3 linked regions of the Schizosaccharomyces pombe genome follow. The protein of the gene in region 3 binds, or shares a complex with, the protein of the main gene of each other region. Each region holds a gene or a part of one and is shown on either strand. Other genes may lie near its edges.

Evidence for each region. Proteins that work in one complex are often made in the same cells at the same time.
Region 1: img1 (region 3) and mrpl22 share a complex: the UniProt entries of both Schizosaccharomyces pombe proteins name them as parts of the mitochondrial large ribosomal subunit.
Region 2: img1 (region 3) and mrpl19 share a complex: the UniProt entries of both Schizosaccharomyces pombe proteins name them as parts of the mitochondrial large ribosomal subunit.

What each region holds. Positions count from the first base shown.
Region 1 is NC_003421.2:2,026,719-2,031,131, forward strand, and holds mrpl22 (mitochondrial 54S ribosomal protein uL22m), read right to left. Parts: upstream 2,417-4,413; 5' UTR 2,313-2,416; coding exon 1,563-2,312; 3' UTR 1,456-1,562; downstream 1-1,455. Other genes in the region: SPOM_SPCC1739.01 (zf-CCCH type zinc finger protein), read left to right, coding at 1-612; helicase Hrr1, read left to right, coding at 2,937-4,413. UniProt on the Schizosaccharomyces pombe protein: Component of the mitochondrial ribosome (mitoribosome), a dedicated translation machinery responsible for the synthesis of mitochondrial genome-encoded proteins, including at least some of the essential transmembrane subunits of the mitochondrial respiratory chain.
Region 2 is NC_003424.3:3,204,507-3,208,315, forward strand, and holds mrpl19 (mitochondrial 54S ribosomal protein uL11m), read right to left. Parts: upstream 2,035-3,809; 5' UTR 2,029-2,034; coding exon 1,594-2,028; 3' UTR 1,456-1,593; downstream 1-1,455. Other genes in the region: npt1 (nicotinate phosphoribosyltransferase), read left to right, coding at 1-1,087; cytochrome c oxidase assembly protein Cox16, read left to right, coding at 3,014-3,244, 3,364-3,474. UniProt on the Schizosaccharomyces pombe protein: Component of the mitochondrial ribosome (mitoribosome), a dedicated translation machinery responsible for the synthesis of mitochondrial genome-encoded proteins, including at least some of the essential transmembrane subunits of the mitochondrial respiratory chain.
Region 3 is NC_003424.3:1,638,326-1,643,720, reverse strand, and holds img1 (mitochondrial 54S ribosomal protein bL19m), read right to left. Parts: upstream 2,027-5,395; 5' UTR 1,967-2,026; coding exon 1,418-1,966; 3' UTR 789-1,417; downstream 1-788. Other genes in the region: anaphase-promoting complex ubiquitin -protein ligase E3 subunit Apc11, read right to left, coding at 69-211, 429-551, 595-613; erg8 (phosphomevalonate kinase), read left to right, coding at 2,836-2,843, 2,910-4,182; structure-specific endonuclease catalytic subunit Slx1, read right to left, coding at 4,222-4,938, 4,980-5,078. UniProt on the Schizosaccharomyces pombe protein: Component of the mitochondrial ribosome (mitoribosome), a dedicated translation machinery responsible for the synthesis of mitochondrial genome-encoded proteins, including at least some of the essential transmembrane subunits of the mitochondrial respiratory chain.

The DNA of each region.
Region 1 (4,413 bases), on a different chromosome or scaffold from region 3:
GCTGGCGCATTTCCTTCAGTGGTTAGTGCTAGCTTGCCCACTAAAGTAGATTTGAATCATCAAATGGACGTTAGTGATGAGGAGCAGCGCTTTTTAAGTACGCCTTTAGGAAGCTTTGATGAAAGCATTTTGGGCTCATCACCTATCAATCGATTAAGTTCAAGCTTTAAGCAGTACACTTCTTCCTTGAAAAGTCCTGGTTTAAGTACTCGGACCAGCTCTACTATGAATTCGTTAAACAGTAGTAGGTTCGGCGCATACTTCTCCAAGTCTCGTTATGTTGAAGGTTCGGGTTCAATGTCTACCACGCCCTTAGCCACTAGTGTCAATAACTCTTATAAGTTACCTTCAGGTTTTAGTGTTCGTGAAGAGGCCGTCTTCAGCTCGCCAACCACTGAAGGTTCAAGACCTGTGAGTCTTGCTCGATTGAAGAGCGAGCCTATTTTTAGAAGTGATACAGCATCTCCGGAAACCATCGCTGGTCTTGGTGATACAAAAAATGATCCTGTCGTGAGTACCAATAATAGCGTATCACGTATAACCGTTGCTAATAGTTCTCCTCCGTGGAATAGTACGGTGGAAGAAGAGACGCCATTCCAAATGGATGATTAAAATGAATGCCGTCGAAAAATTTACAAAAAGCTTGAAATGTTTTATTAAATTATGCATTATTATTGATAGTTATCATATTTTTTATTTTCTCTGTGCTTATCGCATGTTTTCAATATGTTTTTAAATTGGGGTTAGCAACATATGACCCTGCAAAACGTCTTGTTTAAATATGCGAAATTTTTTTTTCTATTTCCAAACATTCTTAAATGAAAACACTGATTTTCTCTAAATTAATTTTTACCCACAGTTTAAAAAAAAAAACTCATTGTTGTGGTTCAAGTTAATATAGTTGATACATTTACTATCTCAACTTATTTTTTCATTATGGCCCATTAAAAAGAATTACTGTCTATTTGATGCGGTTTGTTTCCTTTTTTTTCCTACTGATCATTTGCTACTGCAAATGAGTTAAAATGCGGATCCAGCGTACCTTTACACCTAATAATTGGGGAATTAATGATATTTTATACTCGGTTTGCTTGATTGTTTAAAAGTGTCTGATGAATTTAGAACCAATAAATATGTGTCAAAATGGTGAAGAGATATGGATAGCTTCAACATATGGTCCAAAGCACGTTTTGAAAAGTCAAAAAAAGAAGCTCGTTGCAATGCTTCAAACCAAATTTGAAAAATGTTAATGAGGCAAACGATTGCATGAATGATTTAATAAGATTAGACAGTTTAAAAAGAATTGCGTTCTTTACGAAAACGTATCATTGAACTAAAAGTGATGTATGTACAGGTTGGTTAGTTTACCTTTTTACAGTACTATTTTTCTACTGATACCATCAGCACCATAGAGGTAAATACAAAATTATGGCGTTGCTAAAGAAATAAATAATAAGGGAAACCATATTCTCATAAAAAAAAAACGGCACTAGAATTACTATAAACGATATTGGGGGGAAATATTATTAGAGTATCAAAGATATGGGCATCTCAATAATGACTTAGCAAGTGAAAAAGTTAGATTTTAGGTATATTGGTCGGTTAGGCAGAGGCGTCCAAACTTTCTTTCTTTCTAGTCTTTGTTGACGACGCTGTAAATCGCGCAAGAGAGCTCGCTCATCTCTTAAAACAACAGTAACTCGAACCCGTGGAGATCTCTCAATGGCACGACCTCCACGGCCCATAGTGATAAGTTTCTTTAAATACTTTGCCTTTCCAACCCATATTTGATCAACGTAGAGAGTACTCTCATCAAGACCAGCTTCACGAACAGCGTTTTCTCGAGCAGAAACCAAAGCAGTTGCGATGTACTTGGAAATTTTTTTATCTGACATTTTCATTTGAAGTAAAGCATGATAAAATGGCTTATGGGCAATTTGACGACACAAAGCGCCGACTTTCTTTAAAGAGGAGCGAAGCACCATTGATTGTAAGGTGTAGGAAGGATCCATGGTCTCCTGTTTTTTGAAAGAAATACGTGACCTTGGTCTCTCTTTTACACGCTCTTCCTTTTGCTGACGATTAGAATCGTCCTTCTGGTTAGCAAGCATTGAGAAAATGTCGGACCCTTTTTGCGAACCCAAATTTGCAGGATTTTGTGCAGACTCCCTTAAGTAGGATCCATTTGAAAATTCTCTAACAAAAGAAAGTAATGGAAATTTGTAATGGTACGTTTTAGAATTCAATCCTATCGTGGACGATGGAACTAAAAAGCCCTTTGATATTTTCATAAATTGATTAATGTATTTCATAATTAAATCTTAAAAATTTTTTCCCAAATATTCCTTCCACACATAGAAGTCAACGTTTTCGACTAATTTGAGCAAATGCGCTTTCTCAATGTTGTAACAAAACCAGGTAAATATTACATGCCAAGGTGGTACTAATAGGAATTGCAACCTAACGAATTGCTAACTGTACTATGTTATAGGTCAGTTAGCATTTCCCTCCTTATACAGTTATAAAAATCTTAAATGAGAGAGCTCACTATCACTATGCAAGCTACTCAGTTTGTAAATCTATTTCAAGGATGGATAAACTACGATAAGGTAACTTTACAACGATGTTAACACATGCTTACATGCTTTATGCTGGCACACTAAGCTGCACATTGCGGGTATTATCTGAACGCGTTAAATGCATGGTCACGTAAAGACAGAAAACGGCCCTTGGCAGTAAACAAACAACCCATTTGTATGTTAGACAAATAATATTAGAGACAGGTGCAGAGACTGTACATGAATTGTTATTTATGATATCTTTTAGCTTCTTTGGGGAGGACGAGATTAATATTACGACCTAGTGGGCGCGTACTGAGATATTTTAGTACAATAACCTTTTGAAATTTTTTGGATATTATCCTTTTCTTTTTTATTATGGAACAAGTACAAGATGAAATTTGGAAGTTAAGTACGCTGGACGCCTGGGAAATGGTGAACAAAAATACAGAAGTTGTGTTTGATGAAATCCCCGAGCCAGAAACTTTAAGTGAAATGAAAAGACACCCATTGTATAGCAACATCTTTAACGCCGATAATAATACTACGAGTTTCACAGAACAAATCGAGACTTCTGAAACCTCCAAAACCCAAGACTCGGAGGGGAACAAAGTTGATAAAAATTTAAAAGAAAACAAGTCAATACGTCGTAAGAGAAGCATTGACAACGATTATGAATTGAGTAATGTAAAGAGAAATGATATAACATCGGGAAAAAATAGAGAATTCGAAAACGAACACCATCCCGCAAGCGATACTTCTTCTTGGCGGGAACTACCATCAATTCCAACGTTGGAAGAATTGACGTCAAAGAGTGTTGAATTACCTTCAAACAACATATACGGAGGATACAAGTCCTTTGAAGATTACTTATCTATACACTATCGGTTGCTACGTGAGGACGCAGTTTCCCCATTACGAGAAAGTGTGCTTCGGTACAAGGTAAACCCCAATTACATTACCGGCTCTTCGTTAGCCGTATATGATCATGTGCGGATAGATGGCTATACAATATCTTCCAGTGTTATAGCTGCAAAATTATCCTTCAGTGTTCGCGCTAAGAAAAAAATAAAATGGGCTACCAGTCGTCGTCTTATCAGTGGATCTTTAGTTTTATTAAGCAATGATGATTTCCAGACTTTTCGCATTGGAACTGTCTGTGCGCGGCCCTTGAGTGGCCTTAATAAACATCCTCATGAAATAGATGTCAAATTTGAAGATATTAGTATCTCTTTAGATCCTCGAGAAGAATATGTTATGATCGAAGCTACTTCAGGCTATTGGGAAGCTTACAAGCATGTTCTTCGTTCATTACAGAGGCTTTCTGCTAGCACATTCCCGATGAAGGATTACTTGGTACACTGTAAAAGTAATCAGGAGACTGCTAAACACATACAAAATAATCCTAGGATACGCATAAATTCTATCTTAAAAAATAACTCTCAAAAAATCGTAAATGCTCTTGAGCCGTTCGGTCCTGGCGAGTATATACTAGACTCGTCACAGTTAAAAGCTTACCAGTCCATGCTGACTAAGAGACTCTCCATTATTCAAGGCCCTCCAGGGACTGGTAAAAGCTTTGTTACTCTTAAAGCCATAGAAACATTACTTGAGAATACTCACTCCCATGTTCTTCCGATTTTAGTAGCTTGCCAAACGAATCATGCAGTCGATCAAATATTGATTCGTTTATTGCATCAAGGCGCTTCAGTAATGCGACTAGGTTCAAGAACGAAGGATCCTGAGATTGCAGCGGTTACGATTTTTCAAAAAGCAAAGCACACCAAGCATTCATTTAAGGCTGCTTATAATGAGATTCGTCACAAAAAGCAACGCTTAATCAAGCAAATAACTA
Region 2 (3,809 bases), 1.6 Mb from region 3:
TTATAACTGGTTACGGGAACAAATAAGAGGCTTACGGAATTTACATTTACTTCCTGAAGAAGAGCAATGGCTTCGCAAGAACTGTCCTTATTTAAAGGAATCATTTTATGAATTCATGCATGAGTTCGAATTTGATCCTGAAAATTCAATTTCCCTTAATTATGATTCTGAAACTAAGGATCTCTCAATCTTTATTCACGGCCTCTGGAAGAATACCATTTTTTATGAAATTCCACTGCTTGCTCTCGTCTCAGAATCTTATTTTAAATTTGTCGATAAGGACTGGTCACCTGAGGGTCAGTTTGAAAAAGCTTACGAGAAGGGTAAGCGTCTCATCCGAGCCGGATGTGCCTTTACTGACTTTGGCACTCGTCGTCGTCGTGATCCTCACACCCAGGAAATTGTTCTCCAAGGTCTCATGAAAGCACAAGAGGATTTTAAGGGCCCTGGAAGTTTCCTTGGTACATCTAATGTTTACTTCGCCGCCAAATATAATCTAAATGTCTCTGGTACGGTTGCTCACGAGTGGTATATGGGCATTGCAGCTATTACTCAAAATTATAAACAAGCAAATCGTATTGCTTCCTTAAAGTGGGTCCAAACTTTTGGTACTAGTCTTTTAATAGCCTTAACGGATACATTCTCTACTGATGTGTTTCTCAAATCTTTTACAGCCAATTCTGCCGACGATTTAGCCAATGTTTTCCATGGTGTTCGTCAAGATAGCGGTTGTGCTGAGGAATACATTGAAAAAGTCGTAAAGCACTATAAATCAATAGGTGTCGATCCTTCCACAAAAGTAATTGTTCATAGCGATGCTTTAAATGTTGACAGATGTATCGAACTGTACAAATACTGCGAGAAATGTGGCATTAAGTCTGCATTTGGCATCGGCACAAATCTTACCAGCGACTTCCAAAAAGTTTCCAATCCCAGTGAAGTGAGCAAACCTATGAATATTGTTATTAAGCTTTTTTCCGCTGAAGGAACTAAAGCAGTGAAGATTAGTGACGATATCATGAAAAATACTGGTGATCGTGATGCTGTTATTCAAGCCAAGCATCAATTATGCCTCCCTATAGCATAAGCCATTTCTTTTATTTTCGAGCGTTTCTGCAGTACTAATCTTGGTTTTTTTTTTCTTATTTTTTGATAGATAGACAGAGTTTGAGGCTCTCTTTTATTGAGCTGCATTTCATAAGGCGTGACTTAGAGTAAACATAAAACTCACACTTGAAAATCTTCATTTTCTTTTCTGCTTAGCATATCTGTTTCGTTATCTATATTGATAGTTTAATGCTAAAGGTAATCATTTAGTCTAAGATGTGTTTGTAAACTAACGGTATGCAATTCTTTAATTTTATATGGCAAACGTGTTTTTTTACTTTGCTTGTTTAACGAAGGAATAATATAAAACAACTAAGAAAAGGAGAAAATAAGAAAACAGGGACAACGTTTTAGTCGGTAATAGTAAAAAGTCATATCATTAACTGCTTTTATTCAAGAAAAAAGAGGGGAATAGTTTATAACAAGATAGAAAAAAAAATAACCTCAAGTATGACCAGTTACAAAATGCTCTGGCGTCTCATAAGATTAAGGTACGACTTTGACGCCCATGCTTTTAGCTGTTCCAATGACACTTTTACAAAGAGAAAGAAGCTCTATTCCTTGTAAGCTTGGATCAGTACTTTTCAATTTGGCAATTTCATATATATGCTTCAAGCTTAATTGTCCCTTTATATCATGTAATGGGGAACTTGAACCTTTTTCAAGGTCGAGGGTTTTAGAGATTAACCAACTGGTTGGAGGAGTATGTATAGTGAAAGTAAATGTTCTTTGAGGTGTGACAGTAATTTTACAAGGCACTGGGGTATTTGGCATCCAACCTGCCGTCCGCGCATTAAATTCTTTACAAAAGTCTATGCTCTTCAACCCGCGAGCACCAAGGGCAGGTCCAATTGGAGGCGTAGGCGTAGCTTTTCCTGCCGGTACAATTAATTTTATGATTGTCGTTCTAGTAGAAGCCATAAGGTTAAAGAAGAAAATACAGTTGTAAGTTGTATGTCTCTCATGCAATAAAGTAACATGTTCTTCCTTAAAAATAATTGTAATTAGAATAATAACTAATTTGAAATATTTGGGTGAATTAATTGTAATGTGTTTACTTATTTGTAATATTAAAGCTTTTAATAGCAGTCAGAAAAATTCCCGAATAGACCAAATGTGTCCTTCTCTTCTGCTTGATTGAATAGAAGTAAAAGTATTGACATTAAATAGGCAACTCAGATAAATGGAAAAGACGTTTTCATAAACGTTGTTCGTTTTAGGATTTTTTTGAAAAATTTTAGTTGATTTTTGAATCTCAAATACGGATTAGTTAAAATGTCGCAAAATTTTTCATTTGTTGAACAACAATAGCGCTGAATTGAAGCCGTTTAAAAGAAGCAAACCAAAATTTAGCTACATAGCTTTTCAAAGTTAACTCCTTACTATCAATTAATATATTAAGTTTTTAGGGATTGGCAAATATCCTAACTAAAAAGCATGATTATTTCATTTGAATCACAAGCTGAAATTAAATGGTCTTTTCTCAGCTATTTTATTACTTTCAATAAACATTTTACATACCATTTTATGGTAAACAAAGTAAAACACATGTTTACTGGAAGTCACAGTCTGTCACTAGCACATGCCATCGATATGTTTCTTTTTCCTAATGTGTATTGTAATTAAAACTATAAAGGGTTTTCACCTGAAGTGCTTGGGCTATGTAGGAATGCTGTCACGCGATGCAGCTTGAATAATTAGTAGAAATAAAAAGATTTCAAAGTGCAGATTTCTATTAAAACTCTACTCTTAAAATTAATTATTACAAACCAACGACTATCTTATTAATTTCCATCCTAACATGCTGAGTGAAGTTTGCCATAATCATCTTAACCAACTTGCTATTTACTACACATTCTTAACAATCCATCGTTTTCAGCGAATGTAAGGATGTTAATAAATTAAAATGCTTTTCTATCGATTTAAAAGTTGGTATAGGCTTCAAGCCAAGAAAAGTCCGTTTATTTACGTTGGATTGCCGTTTTTGAGCTCAGTATTATTAGTCTGGTCATGCTTGATCCCCATTTCCCAAGTCAAATTTAACAGACGAGATGAACAAGTTAAATCCTTGTCCCGGGATGCAGAGTTAGACATTATTAAAAGAAGAAGAAAGGTCGACGTTAATGAAGAATATTATGTAAGTAAAGTGCTGATCTTGTTTTACAATATTTAAGTTTTGGCAACCAGCTGCAAAGTGCATTTGCTTTTCGTGAATTTACATTCACCAGTTCCTTTTTTATTAACCACCTGTTATAGAGGATCTTATTAGATCAGTTGAATCTACAGAACGAGGAGTACGAAAATAAACGTGTAAAGAGGTTAAAAGGGGAGCCTACATGGGAAGGAAATTCAAGCGATAAAGAATGAATAATGAACGATTTTATTGTTATTTTGTTCCTTTATTTTATTATTAATTATGGAGTATTGAAAAGGATACAAGTTTTTGAAGTGAGAATGCTGAAGACGACTTTATGATACAGAGTGTTTTAGCATATGGAAATACTCAAATAAATAAAGCAAGAATTTTTTTTTCTAACATGAGAATAATATTTATGTGGCTCATATATAATTATCTTCAATTTAAAGGACCAAATACTTACACTTAAGCATATTCAGTAGAATAAACTTTCAATGAAGATATTTGAGCGTAAATTTCACTATGAATATGTCACTCAAGCCTAAAAGCGTTTTAATAATAGGAG
Region 3 (5,395 bases):
TGTAATAATAATAATCGTGACTATTGAGTTGGATTCTTTGGAAGTCTTATTCGATACGTCAATCGTATTTATTGTGTTTCAGACTTTTCATTCGTAGAATCTGCTACCACAAAAGTTTGACGGTCCATCGGGCATTGACCTTGAGAACCGCTAGTAGCTAACCAGTTTTGAATACAGTGAGCATGAAATATATGCTTGCATTTCCCCCAAACTAGCGTAGTTAGCCTTTAATTAATTCTGTGAAAGCTGATGCCCATGATAAACTCTTTTTAACAAAAACAAAGTATGAATATTAGATTAAAGATTATTTGAACACAACCAACCCAATTGCGCAACAAATTTTCATGCTGATACCCCCTTAGGATGCAAAGTATACAAGTAAGCCTCCGCAGAGCATATTCAGGAAATAAATACAAACATATTCTTACCTATGGGGCAATTGTCTCCAGGACTTGTGCATTGAGGGCAGCATCCATCGAATGGAACACGACATATACCACAAACGTCGTCTTTTGGGGTATCCCACGTCCAGTTAGCAATTGCATGGTATCCTAGTGGTTAGAAAACAATTTTATTTCCAAAATATTCGCTTACTCAGTATTTTCACCTTCATAGTCTTTGTATATTGTATTTGAGATCTAATTAAATAAACATTAGTGTTTTTTGCTAGCTAATGTTTTACGTTCTACCACGGTATTAAGAAAACAATTCAGGCGAAAAACAAAATGTCGTAAGAAGAGAAGAGTTAGTAGATTTACAGTTGATATTTGGCTTTAGCTATACATCTTTTCGTTTTCTGAAAGTTTAAAATTTCTAACTAAAACTAATTTTCATTGGACTGTAACAAGCCGGCTACATTCGACATGCTAACAAAATTTTTATATTTATGATACTTTGCTTCTTTAGCTTATAACATATTGTTGAGCTCAAGTTTTATACTTTTTTACATGAATAATTTCAAATATTATTCAAAATAATCAAAGCGCAGAATTATGAAGAGGCAAGCCTACATACAGCTCAAATTTATAAGAAAAAAGTAGAGGTTTTGATTCATAGTGCCTCACAAATTCATCTGGGAAAATTAATGGCAATGACATGTGACTTGTCGATTCAAAGAATGAGAAGGGGGTAAAAGGCTCAAAGGAGGTGATTCATTGCCGTTTCATGGAATCGATAATACGTGTTTTGACAAACAGGCTAAAGCCGAAATATACATCCAAATCTCTAAATCTGTTCCAGAAAACCAACCAACGCCTCTTATAATGCAGTTCTAAATGCAATAGCCTGTAGAAAAAGACAAGTAGATAGGGAAACATAGAGTGTAAACGAACTATAAATCATACAGCGCTTCTTGAATAAAATCATGAAAGATTCGCAAAAAAAAAGAAATTTACTTGCAGAAGTTGCAATGATTGTGTCAAGGTTTATGTTGATTTTGTTCAATGTATTTTCGCACCAGTGATTCAACAGGTGGAAGACGAAAGCGAGGTTGACGCAAGTAACTTAAGTATGCTCTTCTAGGTCTTTTAGATAGACCATTTTCTTTGAGGACAACAATACGTTTAATTTGTGGAGAGTAAATTGGTAACAAATATTCGACTCCAACACCCATTACCACGTTTCGTAACAGGATTGAACTTTTTGGTCCACGATGCCGAATTCGCAGTAGATAACCAGCAAATCTGTTGACTGAATCTTTTGATGGGTATTTTGAGTAGCTTTCAACCAGTAAAACCGCGCCTGGTCTTACTCGATTTGGCTGCGAGCGATGAAACATTTTGAATCGCTCAGATTGCTCATCCAATACTGAACGGCACTTTTTTTCGAATAATGATAACACATCTTTGTGCTTTGGACCTGGTACTGGCTTTGGAAAGTTATAAGGCCGTTTTAACGATCCAATACCTCTCTTTTGTAGCCATTGAAAGCCCAATCCTAAATTGAAAAAGTGTTTGGCATTAAACATGTCTTCCAAAAGTCATTAAATACCGTTCGTTAGTAAGAATGACAAAACACTATATTCTACAGAGTATCTTTTTAAGTAAGTACGATGGTATTCAAAATGAATTAGCAAATTCTGCACAACGTATTTCGTTATATGTTATTTATTGTCAACCTTCCATTACGCTATATTAGACTATGTAAGTTAATACAGTTGATTATATATTTTTATATGATTTATCCATCAAGGATTGTGTTTCTGACCTTGAATGTTCAAGGCAATAGAAAGATTCCTGTTGAACCCGAATGAATATACGTGTTCCAATTCAGTTACATGGCTTCTCATTGTAGTTATAATACTATCAATAACTCGCTGGTATTCAGAAAACTTCAATAGCAAGATTTGCTTTTTTCTTTCCACCTTAATGTTCCATTTTCGTAAAAGATATTATTTTATATGCAATCAATTATATACTCTAATATGAATATGCGTTAATGTAATCTCTGTATTCCTGATTTCGAACTCTCCTTAATTAACGTTAATTTTCTATACTATTTTCTCCACAAGCAAATCTTGCGAAACGAACGATACGATAATGATTTAGAAAGTTGATTTACTCAAAGCAACTTTAGTTTCTGTATAACATTTGATACTCTTTGATCAGTTCTTTTTTTATTTTTTTTGATTTTTAGAATAACACTTTTCAGGAGCTACTGTTCGAAGATAATCCTCTCTTTTACTTTGACTGATATATCATTTCTCTAAATTCAACAGATTATCACGTAAGATAGAAGTCATACATTCCTTTCTATTTCCTTCTCAGGTCCTATAAAAAAGTTACGACACACAAAACATTATAGAGATATCCATATTCAAGACAAAAATATATCAACATGAAAGTGTAAGTTGAAACCAGTCTTTTTTCTTTTTTTCTGTTTTGTCCATCTCTAACTAGCGTCTTTGGCAGGACCTGCTCTGCTCCTGGTAAAGTACTTATAGCTGGTGGATACATTGTTTTAGATCCTCAATACAGCGGGCTTGTTATTGGTTTAACTGCCAAAGGGTACGCTTCCACAACGACTTTGGACGATAAATGTGGAACGGTTCGTGTGAAAAGCCCTCAATTCATTAACGCTGAATGGCTTTATAATATTGATTGGACTGTATCTCCTATTCGAGTTCATCAGATATATGAAAACTGTGAATTGGAAAAAAATCCAAACCCCTTCGTTCAACTGGCACTTTTTTATGTAATTAACTACTTTTTTTCCACGGGGCGACAACCTTTATGCTGGCAAGATCTTCAAGTTACATTGCAGGTAGATAATGCCTATTATCACCAACCACAGTTAAAGCCTGATCAAACAAGCTATCCAAAATTCAATTTCTTAAACTGTACTTTAGGTCAAGTACATAAGACTGGTTTAGGAAGCTCGGCAGCTATGATTACAAGTCTTATAGGTTCATTATTTTTAAGTCTTAGACGACTAACAGATGACACTGGTGACAAATCTCTCAAAATTGATGATTCAACCAAAGTCATAGTTCACAATCTGGCACAAATTGCCCACTGTTCTGCACAAGGAAAAGTAGGAAGTGGGTTTGATGTTGGCGCTGCCACTTGGGGAAGTTGTATTTATAGAAGGTTTGATCCTAAATTAATTGAACAACTGCTGGTCCCATACGACGAACAAATAAAGAACATAAATTTTTCCACCGAACTGAGAAAAATAGTTTCTAAAAAATGGTCAGATGTTGTTCCATTTCAATTGCCTGCTACTTATTGTTTGCTAATGGGGGACGTAGCTGGTGGCAGTAGCACACCGGGTATGGTAAAAAAAGTACAGCAATGGCAAAAGGAAAATCCAGAGGAATCTAAGAATTGCTTTGATGATTTGTATTCAAGAGTGCTTTCCATCAAAAACTGTTTTCTTTCTTCTGAAAGCTTAGACTCTGAACTTCAAAGTCAATTTCGATCCATTCGTCGTATTCTTCAAAGAATTACCGTTGAAGCAAAGGTTGACATAGAACCTTTAAAGCAAACAAATATTTTAGACAACATAGAGCAGTTGCCTGGTGTCATTGGTGTGGGAGTTCCTGGAGCCGGCGGATTTGATGCACAATTTTGTTTGGCCATTAACCATACGGAGATAATCGAAAATGTTATCAAAACATGGAAAGATGATGGGGTAGTACCCATGGACGTTTCTCCTGCTTTCGATGGGCTAGCCGTAGAATAAACAAGACTAACTATAGAGATTGCTGACACAGTATTGGCGCTATTTTTCTAGTTCTAGATCTATGATTTCTATTCTATTTTCGCTTTCAAAATCTCGTTCGTCAGTTTCTAAAGAAGTAGTGAAAACCGTAGACAGGAACTCTCTCCATCTCAATACTCTTTTGCATTTTGTACACATTCCTTCGATTGGAAGAACCTGGCATTCTTCTGTCAGAAAACTGCTTGCAAGGCAAGTTAAATGATTTATTGAATTGCAATCCGTAAAAGGGCAATTAGCCCGCAATTCATCAGATTCGATACATTCGTAGCATAGGTTACACTTAACAGGCTCTGATATTGTCTTTCTTAAACATAATTTATGATCGTAAGTTTTTTGGATTACTTTTTCGTGAAACCCATTTAACCATTCTTCGTCGAAGTATACATTGATATTACCATAAGTTTTACCAAGTTGATTCCATTTACTGAAAGCAGTTTTATTTAGAAATGTGATGTTTAATGGCCATCTTCTCCACGTATCACTGTCAACCAAATGCTTTAAACCTTTAAGACAATACATAATGGTTTTTTGTTTTTTTGAACGGAAATCACAATCTTTAGTGTACCTCGAGATTCCCAGATTTTGCCAATTCCATTCGAACTTTAAAGCAGACACTTTGTTAGGAAAGCCGTAAACTAAACATGAAATCGACCAAGGGCGCCCGTGTTTAGTTTTTGATGCACCACCAACTATTTCCCCATTATGTTGCCGCAATCGCTAAAACAAATTAGTTTCCTATAATAGCACAAAATACCTACTCTAGGTGGATCTGGTGTGGAACCGATATAAACAGCTCCACTTGATTGTGTCCTATTCGACTTTAGTAAATAACAGCAGTAGAAATTGCACAAATCCATGTTTCATAATTCTTTTCGATAGCACTTTTCTCTTAACCCGTGGTAATCGAACAATTAACTAGTGGTAATTTTATAAGCTTGTTAAGTTAATTAATTGAAAGTATAATCTAAAAGTATTTTTTCTTTCAGCTTTGTCTTCGAATAATAGTAAGAAAACAATGTAAAACAAAAGGTCACCGTTACTGTCTTTAGGGTTATCCACGTAAATCTGTAAGATTAAATTGTTATTTGACGTGCTTCATTACTTTCTCTTTCACTAAGGATTATTTATAATTCAAAAAAAAGGAAAGAATTACTGAACCTATTTAAGCACCGTC